Linked DNA regions of Mus musculus. The protein of the gene in region 1 binds, or shares a complex with, the protein of each later gene. Links are inferred from orthologs where the notes say so. Each region holds a gene or a part of one and is shown on either strand. Other genes may lie near its edges. The genes, in order: Eif3g and Eif3k.

What was found.
Region 2: Eif3g (region 1) and Eif3k share a complex: the UniProt entries of both Homo sapiens proteins name them as parts of the eukaryotic translation initiation factor 3 (eIF-3) complex. The link is inferred for Mus musculus from reciprocal best matches to the Homo sapiens genes EIF3G and EIF3K.

Annotation. Positions count from the first base shown.
Region 1 is NC_000075.6:20,895,636-20,899,903, forward strand, and holds the start of Eif3g (eukaryotic translation initiation factor 3 subunit G), read right to left. Parts: upstream 2,956-4,268; 5' UTR 2,929-2,955; coding exon 2,909-2,928; intron 2,790-2,908; coding exon 2,743-2,789; intron 2,533-2,742; coding exon 2,449-2,532; intron 2,342-2,448; coding exon 2,253-2,341; intron 2,132-2,252; coding exon 2,072-2,131; intron 586-2,071; coding exon 481-585; intron 383-480; coding exon 193-382; intron 1-192. UniProt on the Homo sapiens protein: RNA-binding component of the eukaryotic translation initiation factor 3 (eIF-3) complex, which is required for several steps in the initiation of protein synthesis.
Region 2 is NC_000073.6:28,978,921-28,983,249, reverse strand, and holds the start of Eif3k (eukaryotic translation initiation factor 3 subunit K), read left to right. Parts: upstream 1-1,361; 5' UTR 1,362-1,517; coding exon 1,518-1,576; intron 1,577-2,707; coding exon 2,708-2,806; exon of another isoform or gene 2,807-2,931; intron 2,932-4,329. Other genes in the region: Map4k1 (mitogen-activated protein kinase kinase kinase kinase 1), read right to left, coding at 1-35, 196-294. UniProt on the Homo sapiens protein: Component of the eukaryotic translation initiation factor 3 (eIF-3) complex, which is required for several steps in the initiation of protein synthesis.

The DNA.
Region 1 (4,268 bases):
CACACACACACACAGAGTATATATGTACACGCACGCATGCACGCACGCATACCCAAGTTAGAGTAAGCTATCAGTCACACATCAGGATGACCATGCCCGAAGCCACTCAAACTTGGCCACAGGTAATGCAGGGAAGAGAAGAGCACACTACCACAGAACAGCTGAGACCCTCCCAGGTCCCCACGTCCACACCTCCTGGCAGTTTCTCCTTCTCCCCAGTAGACAGGCCGAGCTGCTCAGCCAGCTCCTTCTGCATGGGTCCTAGTGTGTCCTTGTAGGGGCAACGGGTGGTCCAATGGTCGCCCTTGCAAATGCGGCAGGACACAATCTTCTGGCCCTTAAGCTTGTTCATTGGGTCCTCCTCCTCCTGACAGTTTAGGTCCTGGTGGGGTATAGGGAGGGAAGGCTCAGAGGAGGCTGCTGGGCCCGGCCCACACCACCCCCACTGCATTTCTCAGGCTCCAGCTTCACCCAGCTCACCTCTTTGCTAGTGATGAATGTCATAGAGACGTCATCACTGACTGTGGTAGTGGCCACATTGGGCCCCGGTGGGTCAAACTCCGAGTTGCCAAACTTCTTCCAATTCTGGGCTCCCAGAAAACAATGGGGAGAAGTGAGGAAAAGACAGGAAGGATCCTGCAGTGGGTACCCCAGACAGACAACCATTCCGGGGCCTTGAATCCGAAGATCTAGTCTCTCTAGAGGCCTTCCCTGTGGTAATGGTGACAATCCCCATTCCCTAAGCTAAACACAGTGGCACACAACTGTCACCCCAACACTTGCCAGGTGCAAACAGGAGGACCTCAAGACACGCAAGCTCAAAACCAGCCTGAGTTATCTGAGGTAGGTGCTGGTAAGGTAGCTCGTGTGAAAACGTGCAGTACACTTTCTAACACTCATATAAAAGGTTAAGTACATGCTGGGCATGGTGGCGCACGCTTTTAATCCCAGCCCTTGGGAGGGAGGCAGAGGCAGGCAGATTTCTGAGTTCGAGGCCAGCCTGGTCTACAGAGTGAGTTCCAGGACAGCTAGGGCTATACAGAGAAACCCTGTCTTGAGAAAAAAAAAAAAAAAAAAGGTTGAGTACAGGGCTCCACTGTGCCGCTGGCAGTTTCTGGGCTGCTCCATGGCCAGCCTCCCACCAGGGACAAAGGAGGAATCACCCAGACCTTAGGAACCGAGCCAGTTAAACCTGAAACTCATTTCCTGCCTGTAAAACAGGGGCCACAAAGCTCCCTGCCTCCCTAAGCTGGCCTGGAGCCTGAGAAGCTGTGTCTTGCTGAACGCTGGCACGGGACCTTGCTCTCAAGCGTCGCTGTCCCTCCTCTACAAGCCCTCCCCCCTAGGTAAGTAGAGGCTGCTTGCTTCTTCATGTAGACAGGTCAAAGGAGAGAGAATGGAGGTCAGGATGCAGGAGGCTGAGGCAGAAGCATTTAGAATGAAGACCAGAGCTAGAGCCTCTCAAAAATAACAAGCCAGCAAATGGTGGCAATGCCTTTAATCCTAATGCATGTGGATCTATGAGTTCAAGGTCAGCCTAGACCACAGAGTGAGTTCAGAACAGCTAGGGCTACACAGAGAAACCCTGTCTGGAAAAACAAACTACAAACAATAAAACCCAAGAGGGCTGGGTATGTCTCAGTACAGTGTCTGTCACACAAGTGTCCGTCAGACTCTGACCCCGAGCACCCACAGTCAAACACTGTGCACAGAGGCAAACTTGCATTCCCGGTGCAGGCCAGACAGGAAGTGGGGACAGCAGGGTCCCTGGGGCTGTTAGTGCCCAGCAAGCCTAGTCTAGTTCCTAATACCGAGAGACCAGCTCAAACCAAAAGTATGCTGTGCCATGTGCTGGGGGGGATGATGCTGCGCACATCCGCACACAAAAGGAGAACAATAAAAAAACAAAAGTAAATGAATAAATAAAGCATCTAACTTCATCTACTCCTGGGCCCTAACCTTTCAAGGCCTAACACTAAACGTTTACTCCACATCAACAAAAAGGGGCTTCCCAACTCCTCAGGATCAGCCCCAGAGAACACCCTACCCCCCAAATGAGGTAGAATCTCACCTTCCTCCTTGCCACAGCCTTTGATGCCTTCCGGGTCTCAATCCTGAAGGTTCTGACAATCTGAAGATGAATAAGAGAGGAGTGCTTCCAGAGCCTCAGGCCCTGTCTCAGCCACTGACACCCCTCCACCTGAACCCCTGAACACAAAGGCACTGGCCCTATGTGTCCACTTCGACCTCACCTTGAATTTCTTCCCATCTTCCTCTATCTTGTACTCAGTCACTGTCTTTATGTTCCCATTGATGACTTCCTTGGGAGGTGGCAGCGGGTCTGGAGGAAGATGACAGAAACTGATTCCCGGGTAATGGGGACTGGCTGGAAAGTAGGCTTGAGAGTCGGAAGGGAAGAGGAAGCAGGCAGGGATGGACACTGCTCACCTCCGGGCAGTAACTCGGGCTCTGGACTGGTGTCCCCGGTGGGCAGAGGGATTCCTTTCAGGAGCTCGCTGGTGACACATTTGTCTGCCAGAGGGAATTCGGGGAGGAAGGTAGAGTGAGCCACGGGACGGGAACTTTCAAGTCAGAGAGAGAGTGTGTGTGTGTGTGTGTTGTGTGTTTGCGGGTTGCACCGGGGGCACAGCGCAGGGCGAGGGTGGGGCTGGCCACGCGCGGCCCTAGCCGGAGCGTGGGCCCCGGGAACAGGCAGCGGGCGCGGCCACGCTCGGCACTCACCGTCCTCTCCCTCCTCCTCCACCTGGTCGGCCCAGCTGGGCTTCGAGCTGCGGGGACAGGAGATTGGTGAGCGGGTCCCGGCCCCCCGCGCCGCCCAGACCCCCACGCACCCCAGAGCAGCCCCCACGCGGCCTCCCCGGCGACCCCATCGCCACCCCACGCATACTCAAAGTCGCCAGTCGGCATCTCGAAGTCTTAACTCCACGCAGCTCCCAGCCCGGGTAAAGACAGGAAGCCGGAGTAGAAGAGGCTTCCGGTGCCGCGGCCGCAGCCTAGAGCGGCCAGACCGCGGTGAGCACAGCGCCTCCCTGCGGACAAAGGTGGACACGCGGCTCTCGCGCACCGCAAAGCGCTGAGATCCAACCTGGAAAAGGGGTCCAAAAAAAAGCTTCAAAGAACTTTTTAAACTTTTTTTTTCCCCCTTTGGGTAATGGGGCTAGACGTGAGTGTCTCACTCTATAGATAGGATAGCCTCACAATCCTGTCTCAACTCCAAAAGGCTGAAAGTACAGGCTCACGAGCAGTATTCCCAGGGTGGCCTTGAATTCATAGCTGTCTTTCCACCTTACTCTCGTCCGTGCTGGGAATATGAACATGAAATCGCCACACCCGGAACTGATTCGTTCTCTCCCTCTTCCCGGAGAATTAGTTTTCAGCCATCAGTAATCGCAGTGCTGGAGGTGGAAGCTGGAAAATTATGAGTTAAAGGCCATTTTCAGCTACCTCGTGGATTCCAGACTAGCCTGCGCTCCATGCGACTCTGTCTCCAAAACTAAAGGTGTCTTGCTTTGTTCCCCAGGCTTGCCCCTGAACTCCTAAACGCAAGGAATTCACAAATAGCTGGGGCTATAATTGTGTGCCAACAAGCTTGGCTGAAAAGCACGTGTATCAAGAATGCCCTCGCCCCACATCGTTTAGAGGATACCAGGATTCTGGTTTGTTGAAGAAGAAACAGACTCAGACCAAACCCTTTTGTCCTGTGCTAAGACGTCCTTTCTTTGAATAAGAGGCCACCTGGTCTCCTGTGCCTCCTTTGCTGTGTAGCATGCTAGGGTTTATCCTACAACCTTGTTGTGCGTTTGTATTATTTGAAGACAGCATGCTTGTGCATACATAGCACACATGGAGGTCAGGGGACACTTTGCAGACAGTCTCTCCTTCCACTATGTGGGTCTTGGGATTGATCTCAGGCCTTCAGGCTTGGCAGCCAGCCTCCTGCTGTGGTCCAGGAGTCCCCTCACAGACCACACGAGCCCCAGTCTCAGTCAGAGAGAGGCACTTTATTGAGCATACATGTCAGGACTGGTTAACCAGGGCCACAGTCCAGATTCAGGACCTGAACTGTGACCCTGACTTAAGATCCTGCAGGGTTTTTAAGCCTCAAATCCACAAACATCTGGGCCAAGTCACATCACCAATCAGGATTCAGAAATGGGGGGTTTACCTGGGAACATGGTTTTGCCTTACACGTATCCTGCTCCCATTGGTTGGGTATTCAACGGTGGCAAGAGACTTTCCTTGTTGAA
Region 2 (4,329 bases), on another chromosome or scaffold:
AAAGCCACCAGGTCCTTAGACACCTTGTCGCGAGCCTTGTAAAGGGGAAGTTGGTCATCAGGCAGACTCCATAGCTTGCCATCCTCAGCATCTCTGAACCAAGGCCAAGGCCTGGCATTCTCTTACACTCCTGCTTGCCAGCCTCTCCCCAACTATCCCAGGGTTGTGGTGGAGGAGACAGAAGGGCTTTCTCACCTTGAATACTTCTCCATAAGTTCCACCACCCAGTCGTTGCAGTAGATCATAGTGTTCTCGAGGGTCCTTATTAAAAATGTCGGGGTCCACAAGGGCCATTCCTGGAGGCCGGGGCTGGGCCAGTGCCCAGGGGGCCAACAGGGCCTCAGGGTTCAAGCTTTGGTATTACCTTCTGTCTCCACACAAGTCCTGGGCCCGCCTTGACTCTGTGGGCTGTGGCCTTCCCCCTCCCCACTCTCGCTTCCTGCCCCAGCTGCAGGGCTGTGCAGAGGGCTGCACAGAGGGCTCCACCCCCGTCCCCTGGGTTCTGAGAGTTTGATCGCCTTGGGACCCATGGGACTCCCCTTTACCCACTGAAGGACACTATGTAAATAAGATGCAAAAGTTCTTAAATGCAACCTGGGGCTGACCTAGCACCCTCTCCCCAACACTCTATTTTGGGAGGAGTCATAGGTTACGGTTGAACCTCTGCTGGGTTCTTGAAGATCTGGAATCAAGCCAGAGGTTGCAGGTCTGCACAAAGCTGGCTAGGTTTCACAGAAGACCTGTTTACTCGTGACACATGCATGTGACTTAAGTGACAGCTGAGCTCAGGGCACCTGCCCGCATGGCACATGTCTGTGCAACGCTTCAAACGTGTAGGGAATCTGTGGCAGACGTGGAACACTTGTTAGTAGCCCCTACGCAGAGCCGATGGAGACTACAGGTGTCTTTTGCCTTCCCGGCCTCCTAACAGCACTGTAGCAGTACGGAACCGAGTGGGGACCAGCGAGGAAGTGAAGATACATACAAGATGCTGTCTCAGGCACCCAAGTCGGAGACAAGAAGGGCTTCAGAGAGCATCTCCCACCCGACTAAACTCAAAGAAAAGGAAACAGCAACCCTTCACGGGGCTAAACGCTTAAGGCTACGCATGCGTAGAGAAAATAAAGTCTCCTTTCCCCGTACAACTCCAGCGCACGCGCGTCAGAAGCTTAAGTACTAAGTTTGCGCGGCCCGGGAAAAGCTTAGCCCGCCTCCTGGCGCCTGCGTAGTAAGGCAGACTAAACCTTTTCTCACGCTATTGGTCTCTTTTAAGTGAGCTCATTGCGCATGCGCAAGTTACAACTGCTGGAAGGAAATCACGTGGTAGACAAAAAAAAAAAAAAAAAAAAACAACCGGCGCTGGTGCTGAAAGCGCCTTTCCCTTTGCCTTCCTTGTAGGAGCTGGAGGGAGGGTGTGACGCAGGTTCCGCTTCCTACACCTCTCTTCCGGTCCTCTAGTGCTAAGCACCGTGCCTGGTGTTCGACTCCAGCTGAGGCTGCCGAAGGCAACAGTGATCATGGCGATGTTTGAGCAGATGAGAGCGAACGTGGGCAAGTTGCTCAAGGGTATCGACAGGTCTGAATTCCGCTGAAGGGCGCTCTCTGGCCAAGCGGGGTGGAGAAGACGGGGAGCCAGCCAGGGGTGGCCAGGGCTCCACGCTCCTCCAGAGATGGAGTTTCTCCAAGTTTCTCTCCGTCCCTCAACTTTACCTTTTCTGCTGCCACAGACTCCCGGTGTCTTTTAGTCTCTTCCTTCTCTGTCCTTGTGGACCATCCTACATAGTGTTTTCTGATGTCTATTTGGCCAGTGGGGACCGGAGGTGATGGAAACGGGAACCGGTCCTGCGTTCCTGGACTTAGGTTCCCATTCCATCCTGGCGACAACCCCATTCAGCAGATAGTGACAATAAGGAGCGATCAGGGCCTGGTCAGGTCAAGCCACGTATTGAGATAGGCAGGAGAGGATGGAACTGGGTCAGAACGGGATCGAAGAGAAGGTGTTCAGGAAAACATACGGGCTGCAGAGACTGACTGAGGTTGGAGGCATCCTAGACATGACCAGGGGCTCAAGTAGGGCTAGCTAGAGGCCCATGTTAGGAAAAACATTTACTGGATGTTGTACAGTTAATTGATCAGCTATCTGGGTAGTTCCAGTGGGTGGGACTAACTTATTTATTTTAAGATCGAATGAATGTAATAAAGCTTCCTACAGATTTATTTAAAAAGAAAATAGCAAAGTGAGGAATATCCCATGGCCAGAATAAAAGCTGTAGGAAGAAGAGAGTGATTTCAGGTTAACAAATTACAGTGGTCCCTAAGGACTAGCCTCTGTTCTTCTCTTTGTTTACTCATGTCTGTCTGTGTAGTTATCTCCCTATCTTCCCCCCCCCTTTTTTTGTTTGTTTGTTTGTTTGTTTTTTGAGACAGGGTTTCTCTGTGTAGCCCTGGCTGTCCTGGAACTCACTCTGTAGACTAGGCTGGTCTCGAACTCAGAAATCCGCCTGCCTCTGCCTCCCAAGTGCTGGGACTAAAGGCGTGCGCCACCACTGCTCGGCTCCCTTTTTCCTTTTGAGACAGGTTTTCACTATTAATTGCAGACTAGCTTCAAACTTGCAATCCTCCTGTCCTGCCTCAGCCTCCTAGGTGCTGGGATGAAAGGCATGTAACCACTGTGCCAGGCTGTTCACCCATCTTGATGCTCTTCCAGGTACAATCCTGAGAACTTGGCTACCCTGGAGCGATATGTGGAGACACAAGCCAAAGAGAATGCCTATGATCTGGAGGCCAACCTGGCCGTCCTGAAACTGTGAGTGTCTGTCCCCACCCTCATACGAACAGCTGCCTAGCAGGAAGCCACTCTGGAGAGGGAACCTGGTGCAGAGGGGCCTGGGGCAAGCTGCAAGATGGGACTTCTCTTCGGTGTTTTAGAAGGTCAGATTAGGAGTTTTTGTTTTGTTTTTGTCTTTTTTATTTTATTTTATTTATTTATTTATTTATTTATTTATTATATGTAAGTACATTCAGACACTCCAGAAGAGGGCATCAGATTTTGTTAAGGATGGTTGTGAGCCACCACGTGGTTGCTGGGATTTGAACTCAGGACCTTTGGAAGAGCAGTCGGTGCTCTTAACCACTGAGCCATCTCACCAGCCCTGTTTTTGTCTTTAATCCATTCCAAAATCATACAAGATGGTCAATAAACAGTTGTGTTGCTAGACAGATTATTGTAAATGAAAATTCATTTTGTTAGTTTCACTGCCTCTTGGCTCACATGCTTTGCCCCATCAACCCCCCAGCTTAGGTAATCACTGTTGAGCCCTTATGGCCTAGCCTTGGGTCCCTTGAGTCAGCTTAGGTCAGGCCTGCTTTCTTTTTTTTTTTTTTTTTTTTTTTAAACAGTAGCTGGGCTTTTTTTTTTTTTTTTTTTAAAGATTTATTTATTATATGTAAGTACACTGTAGCTGACTTCAGACAATCCAGACGAGGGCGTCAGATCTTGTTACAGATGGCTGTGAGCCACCATGTGGTTGCTGGGATTTGAACTCCAGACCTTTAGAAGAGCAGTCGGGTGCTCTTACCCACTGAGCCATCTCACCAGCCCAGGCCTGCTTTCTTTTGAGCTCCGCTGTAATCACATAGCGCAAGCTTTTCTACACCAGAGATCTTCCTCTCGGCCCTGGGTTGGTGGCAGCCTTTTTCCTTGTTTCTTTTGCCCATATTCATGAGTGTGTGTGTGTGTGTGTGTGTGTGTGTGTGTGTGTGTGTGTGTGTAGGGGCTGTGTGTGCACACATGCGTGTGGAGCCTTGAGGTTGATAGCAGGCACCAGTCATTCTTCCACCTTATTCAGAGTCAAGGCCTCATTAAGCCCAGAATCCACCAACACAGCTTGTCTTGCTAACCAGCTTGCTCTTGGGATCCTCTGTTCACACCTCAGAGACCGAGTTCGAGACAGGCTGGCATGCCTACCTGGCATAAACATTTATTTTATTCTTTTTAATTCGTTTTGTTTTATGAGTGTGAGTTTTAAGTGTGGAGGTCCAAGGACAACTCGGAGCAGTCAATCTCGCTTTCCACCATTTTGTTTTGTTAAGTCCTGCCACTTACGATGTAGACCAGGGTAGCTTTGAGACTAACGGCGTGGGGCACCATGTCCAGCACTTTCCACCTTTCTGAGTGTCTGCCTCTGAATGCTGATTGGCCTACACACTTCTAGAAGATTCTGTTTCTCCTCTCCCCATGGCAGTGCTGGGCCTCCACATATACTCACTAAAGCCTGTTTTTACGAGTCCAGGAGATTTAGCCTGGGTCAGTGAGTTTACACAGTGTTT